2 linked regions of the Drosophila melanogaster genome follow. The protein of the gene in region 1 purifies or fractionates together with the protein of each later gene. This does not show direct contact. Each region holds a gene or a part of one and is shown on either strand. Other genes may lie near its edges.

Region 1 (3,757 bases):
GTGGCGCCAGCTCCAGCGGACTTTATGGAATTTGGCACTATGTTGACCGACTTTAGTTTGGATTTCATTGGCTGGACATTGCTGATGGTGATGTTGCAGGTCTTGTTGCCGCCCATGGGCGCCAGGGGCAGGAAGCGTAGCTCCTCCTTGCGCGGAGCTAGTGTGAGGAGGCTGTTGGGATTTGGATTTCCGCCGGAGGCAGAGGCAACACCATTGCAATTCGCGGTAGATGGTGAGATGACTCCTCCATTCGCTGGCGACATGGACAATGATATATTGCGCTGGAGCTGCTTGGCCTCCGCACTGGCCATCGACAATGGCAGCATTTTGAGCCGTTTATGCTTAGAGCTATGGATTTTTGATTTCTTTTTTAACCAGCGGAAATCGAAGTTATATTCTTGTCTTTACAATGTTTGTACGTTGAGGCGCACAAAAGTTTTTGGCATTTTACACTCCACACCGGCGTTAGTATTTTTTTGTATTCCCCCTTTTCACAAAACTATTTGGCAATTTGTTATGTTCTCGATCGCGCGATTTGTGCTTTATATCCGTATATTCATCAATCACTTTTCTCTTAATCAAAATCGCAGAAATTGTTAAGTTTTTGAATTAAAGTTATTGTTTCGCGCGTTTCCTTGCTCTCATTGTTCGTGTTTCTCGGTTCTGATAATATACCAACATTTGGTATTTAAATGCACAGATTGCGAATTAGTTTTAAATATTTACGGTTACTTTGGGTTTGTTATTACCTGAAAAAGGTTAAGTTGGATTTAGTTTTGGATGCTATATAAGGATTTTAAAGCTGCAAAAGCATGGTAATCAGAAAATAGCTAGCAGGTAGCAGTTGCTTTGCAACTTGTATGCATATTCGCTGTTAATAGCCAATCGCCATCTGTCCCAATAAAAAGGGAAATATCTAGCAGCTTAAAGTCATTAGTTACAATACCTGTGTTATCCTACCTTAATATTTCTGTTTATTGCGCTTGCTTTTTTTTTTTTTTTGTTTTTACAATTTACCCGCGGCCATTGGGCAAAACCTCGTTGCCCCAGTACGGCCACACTGCACGTATATTGAATTTTGATACCATTTTTAGTTATGCTGCCCAAAGATTTATGTTATCTCAAAAACGACTAGAACCTAAAAATAGCTCCTCTGGGCTTTGAATCCCATCTCACGACCACATTTACGAGCCCTTGATGGCTAAACCGATCCGATCTCCCAGCCCCATGTTACGTAGCAGCCCACCCAATGTCACAATAACTGAAACCTCTTATCTTGGTTCGGATGAACCACTGGCCAGGGAATTTGGTCTAGGGCCCATGGAATGCGTCTTCATTTTTCACTTTCAGAGAGTCTACAGGTTCCGCTGCCAGGATCCAACTGTTGACTTACCCGCACGCGATTCGTTTTTGCCCGCGGAGCGAAATGAAATGTACAGCCGCGGAGGAGGCGGAAACCAGGATATCGGGATGCTGTTGGCTTGCCGAACACGGCTGGAATGATAGAAGTTCAGAAAGTCAGGTCGCGAGTGTCGAAAGGTGGGCCAGGATATGTAGGCTTACCTGCTTTAACCGTATGATTCGATTGAACTGCAGTTTGTTGCTGCGAGGGTGTTACTGCTCGTTCGACCTCGTAAATGCAGGCAAAAACGAATGGCCAGCGAAATCGGGCGGAAAATCTTAACAATTTAAGCACATTTTTCACCAGGTAAGCCAACTAAAGCAGCTCGAAACATTACGCAGTGCCATCGAAACGGAAGCGTTCTGTCGTTCAACAATATTAAAAACTGCAAAAGCATGTGTGTATTTTAATTTCTATGATCGAACGGCTCAGGTGGCAACTCTGGTTGCCGATTCGTGTGCGCCCGATGTCGGTTATTTTGAAAAGGCGGAAATAAAATGGTAAATAAACGAAGCCTTTCTTGTTTGGTGTTAACTGTTTTGGAAATACGCTACTTAGCAGCCTTAAATGCTTAAATTAATATCAAGCGATGGCTTTACATGTACCTGATATTGTAAAATAAGTGCAGAGGAAAATTTCGCAATATCCAACAGAGCTTTTTACCTTCTCGGAACAATTTTAACGAAAAGAGTTTGTCCTCTGAATAGTTGTATATATTTAAAACCGCACATTAACTTAGCAACTTTATCAATATTTAATTGCTTCAAAGATTACAAAATACAGCTTCTTCTTCTTCTCCTTAAACTTCTGTTAGTACTGGAAAACGCCGCTCATACTAAACAACGGCAGCGCCAGCAGCTAGTGTTGGCCAACTTCCCAAAGGGTAGTTTTATTTTCGTGTCAATTGTTAAGAGAAATTTGGCAAAAGTGAATAGAGTTTAAGTTTTATAGAATAAAGAGTACCCCTGAACACTGCCAGCCATGTCCCTGTTAAACAATGACGACAGCATTCCCAACATGGACGAGGATCCACAGGGTAAGTGAAAACTGGAGGGAGTGGGTGGAGTCCCGAGTGATGATGTTATCAATTGCTAATCCCCCCCAAAAACGCAGTGGTCATTCCGGACGACGAGCCACCGGCGACGGGACGAATGCCCAGTGGGAGGTCCATGGACTCGTTGCGTTCATCGTTCACCAACCGCAGTTCCACGCCAGATTCATCGCACAATTCGCTGGAGGCCATGGAAATGGCCCAGGACGATCGGGAGGAGAAGGCCCGCCTCATCACACAGGTCCTGGAGCTGCAGAACACCCTGGACGACCTGTCGCAACGCGTCGATTCCGTCAAGGAGGAAAATCTGAAGCTGCGCTCCGAGAACCAGGTGCTCGGCCAGTACATCGAGAACCTGATGTCGGCCTCATCGGTGTTCCAGTCCACCAGTCCCAGTGCGGCCAAAAAGAAGTAATCTTCTATAGTCAATCGACCCACCGGTACTGGAAACCAAAAACCTTCTCAAATATGCCTTCTCGTTCACGCTAGAGCTACATGTATATTTTAATCTGTAACACTCGAAATTAAGCTATTGCAATGTTATTTCAGTTGCCCGATTGTCGAATTTGTATTTGTTTAGGCTTAAGCTTATGGCGCGCTATGTATTTTATACATAGAAGTAATTAATTTATATAGATAATTAATAAATCAATAATACCCCACGCAATTTAAGAATTTGAAAAGGAAAACGGGATGGCAGCACTGCCAATCCAGCTGCTTTTAGAGGTCGCTTTACTAAATAGCCATGATCGAATTGCAAAACTTACAACAGAGTGACATTTTTAATTAAATAATAAAATGTATTTATTTGTATAAATCTTAGCAATTATTAGAAAAACACCTGCTCACATTTTATTTGAAAATTTTGAACTGCCTACCTACACAACGGCCTGGCAACTTTGGTCGGCCAGCTGTTCGTCGTGGTCGTGCAACAACAAATTGAGCAGTGACTTTTCGTATTCGAATAACGTAGAAAGCGTGTATAAGTCGTAGTCTCTGCTCGGAACATTTTAAAACCAGTCCAAAACTATAGGAAAAACAAGAAAAGTGATCGTGCTTACACCAGAACAGTTGAACGTGCAACAAAAGTGATTGCGAAATACACTGCAAGGTGTGTGTGTGTGACTTGGTGCTCTAGCTGTGTGTGTGTGGGGAAAAACAAAACATTTGCGCTGTGGTTTTTGCTTTTAACAATGTTTGTTTGAGTAGGAAATTCCAATTTTAGTGGCCATTAATGGAACGCAAACATTTAGTTGGCCTTCCTTTGTATTTGCAGTTTCTATTTTGTATCTTCCCCTCCCGCT
Region 2 (3,757 bases), on another chromosome or scaffold:
GGTGGCACTGATACTGTCGCCTCATCGCCTTGGAGCCACTCTGGCTCCGGCTTAACGGCGGCGATCTGCTGACCCAATCCCCTAACCGGCGGAGCCAGCATCAATGGTATATTCTCATCCAATTCGCTGAGCTTAAGCGGCGGCATACCAGAATCATCGTCCTGGCTCAGCAGGAAGTGCTTGCGAATAAGCATCTCCTCGGTATCACGAGCCATCACCGACTGTGGCATAATCTTATAGTTGGGATCGACGATCAAAGGCACTACCTGGGCGGAAACGTACTCATGGGCGATGTCCGGCAGGAACATGATGTTGTTCTCCTTCAGCTTCACGGAGAATTCCTGTAGGCTATCGTTGAGGCGTAGCAGAAGGAACTGCTGCTCGGCATTGATCTCGTACACCTCCTCCTCCAGTTCGTCCAAGATGCGACGCATCTGCACTGGATCCTAATGACGACAAGAACGTGAGTGTCACATTAGGTGTGGCTGGGATTGTTAGGTGGAAGCTGCACAGGTGCTAATGGCCATTAAAAACGCTAATGACCACAAGCACTGAGCAAAAAAGGGAATACATTTCAATCACAAATGAGGTTGAGATTGATGGATAAGGATGCACGTTGGAAAAATATTGAAATAAAGCGGCATTAAAGAATATGCGCATTAATGCTGTTAAGAAATCAGCAATATTTGCTCATATAGATGATGGATTTCGTCATATACATAATTCTCATATGTCTTCTTTTCAAAAAAAAGTGAAAGTAATTTCGAAAAAATTCAGAGATGCGAACGTGGTTCCTTTGGAAATGAAAACATTTGACCCAATTTTTGTGCATTATTAGTTTTGCTTAAAACGCAGTTGCCTCTTTCATGTTTCTAACCCAACTCTAGAAAATTATCGCGAGTACATCAGTTTCTTTGAAATGAAAAAACTAAACTAAGTACTACGTTTCATAGCTTCATCTACATACAGTTCTTTGTTTTGGTTTTTTTTTTGGTTGTGTGTAGTGGGAGGGGGGTTGGGTGGTGTTCTACGGGCGAACACCTTCACCCTGGGGAATCGGGAATTCTCGTGGCGTAGAGAACAAAGGACAAAGACTTGCAGTCTTCTGGCATTAAACCCACCGCATCCGCCTGCTCATCGAAGACCTCCGAGACCAACTGCGTAAGTGAGAGAACAGAGACAAAGGAAACAAATTAACTGGTGTTCGCCAAGGAGCCATGGTGCACTTACCGCGTGAACCTTGAGGAAATCGCGCAGCGATCGCTGGCAGTAGATGATGTCGTTCTTCAGCTCCAGCGGCAGCACGTAGTACTTCTCCATGTAGTACCTGAACTTGGCGTACTTGCGCTCCTTATGGTACTTGCTCATCTTGTTCCGATTATATTGACGCTATATATATAACGACGGTTATCGTACGAATCACGCACGCGACTGATTTCGGATGCGTTGCAATTGATGCACTTGTGGGAATTTTGGGCAAATTTTCGAAAGGGAGTGGGGTGGGAATTGAAACCGAATGTGGTTAGAAAATGTGATAGATTGATCACTACATTCGTAACTGATATCTGGCCGAGGAACTTCGCAATTTAAGATAAAAATGTGTTGCATCAACTGGTGGCGTTGCCAGATAGATGAATACATGTGCTCGTTCTCGTAGCGAATTTTTAATCTTAATATGCGTTTAATTATGAATTTGGAGAAATAAGGACGATGTGCGTCAATAACTTCGATGACGGAACGGTGGAATTTTTGAACATGGGGAAGTTTTTTAAAAATTAATTTTTCGTTATTTAGTGTTCCAAAATGCACGCAAGACCATCAAATTAGCGTCGATGAGTTAGAGTCGATGGCGGAACGGTGAAATTTTTGAACATTGGAAAGTTTTTTATTATTTTTTTTTTTTTTATGGGTCAAAATATGAACAAGCCTATACAAAAAAGTACCCATGAAAGTCATTTATGTTTGGTGTTGTTGACAGAGCGTGTTCCGGAATGCCGTGCTTATAGGCTTATGTAGGCCTAATTAAGTAATGATCCTTAAAAAATTCATCAAAAATTTATCTACAGTTTTGCAGAAAATCGTCTACAAGTGGAAGGAGTTTAAATGCCACCTTCTCCAGTACTACAGCCAATAAATATCATGAACCGCCCTATTAACGATAAGAGTTCTCCGCTGACTTTATTTTATTATTATTTATTTTATTACATTGCACTATTATTTATATTTATTATTTAACTCAGCTCACAGAGCGTATTCCGTCGTACGGCATCTCAAAAGTTTCGTAATTTTATTTATTATTTATTCAAAAAGTTTCATTACAATTTGATAGACAGTTTTTTTTTTTGTTACTACACGTGTTCTGTATATCTACTAAGCCATATATTTAATATATTATATTAAATAATTGCAAATGGTGTGGATGGTATATAAGTAAGCGCCAGAATTTGGAACCTCTCTATGCTCGCACGGTCACACTGGCCGATAACGAAAACATCGAGGCAACAGCTATACTTCATTTATCACTCAAATCTGGCAGCACTGCATTGTGTTTCGGCAAAAAAGAAAGTTGTGGTTTTCTAGGAATTTCGAGCAAAATGTAAGTAGAACTACAAAATGGGCTTTAAATTGTGTGCAAATTCGCTGCCAGCCTGGCTAATTCGCCACCGTGATGTGAATAAGTGCTGTGCGGCATGACGCCAGTGACGCCCCAAATTCGCATGCAATATGGACGACGGCGTCGCTTCGCCTGGAATTGTGTGCTTTATTCCCGACCCAGCGGCTTTTGCTGTCTGTCCACCCGGCCACCGCCCACCCGGCTTCCGGCCACCAAGTCCAGCCGGTTAACAAGCCCGATTGCCGGCTAGAGTTGTACAAAACAAGTGGCGTATAGAGCTTCCAGAGATTTCGCTGACAAAAAAAAAAGAAAAACGACGTGGTGCCGCCTCGTGCTGTTATCCCTCCTTTTCCGGCTCATGGCAAGCTCTGCAGTGGAAAAGCGCCGTCCAATTGGGACTGTCAGCTCCTCCGTACGCCACACCGAAGCAGGACAAATGTCCTTGTCCTTTGGCCATCGGAACATTCTCGCCGACTGCCATGCCATTCGCATTTTGTGAGGTTAAACATGAATCGCAAAAAAAAAAAAACGGCAATGAATTTGCTTCATGTTTCTTCTGCCGGCGGCGACGTCGGCGTCGTCGTCTGTCTGCGTCTGTTCGTCGTCCGTGTGCGTGTGCATGTGTGGGTGCGTATGTGTGTTAGAATTCGATTTGTTATTTAGAATATATAAATGCGATTGGCGATTTTCACGTGAATCGCGACTGCTGCGCTGTTCGCCAGCCAGCAAATGAGCTAAGAAAACGCTGCACTATTTGTATGTCGGCATTTTTATTTTTTGGCGCGCTTCGCAGCGTCCACAGGTTCTCACCAATACGAGTGCATGCGTGCGTGTGTGTGCTTGTAATTTGCCGGCGTTACAGGCGGCACTCAAAATAAGGAATTTTCCTGCTTTTATGGGCAGCACCAGTGGTGTGATGCGCAGGAATTTCACAATCTTGCCATCCTTAAAAAGTTACTCATTTCAGTCTCCAAAAGGAATGAGTCATCAAATGCCTTTTTCAGCGTTTTACGAAATATATCCATTCAAATTATTCACCTCATTTCAAATTGATGAAACTGATCTTGATTCATGCTGAAAATATGGTCATCTTTATTGATGAACTTGGTAGTTTGCTTTAATTCTTTTAAAAAGTACTTCTAT

The links. The genes of interacting proteins can lie anywhere in the genome.
Region 2: the proteins of l(3)mbt (region 1) and Lint-1 purify together in Drosophila melanogaster (affinity purification with mass spectrometry; 2 studies listed by BioGRID, with this or other methods). This does not show direct contact.

The regions. Positions count from the first base shown.
Region 1 is NT_033777.3:27,271,448-27,275,204, forward strand, and holds the start of l(3)mbt (lethal (3) malignant brain tumor), read right to left. Parts: upstream 1,827-3,757; 5' UTR 1,564-1,826; intron 1,495-1,563; 5' UTR 1,394-1,494; intron 750-1,393; 5' UTR 327-749; coding exon 1-326. Other genes in the region: CG5934 (uncharacterized protein), read left to right, coding at 2,384-2,438, 2,516-2,868.
Region 2 is NC_004354.4:11,147,325-11,151,081, reverse strand, and holds the start of Lint-1 (l(3)mbt interacting protein 1), read right to left. Parts: upstream 1,760-3,757; 5' UTR 1,369-1,759; coding exon 1,231-1,368; intron 1,158-1,230; coding exon 1,122-1,157; exon of another isoform or gene 878-1,121; intron 447-877; coding exon 1-446.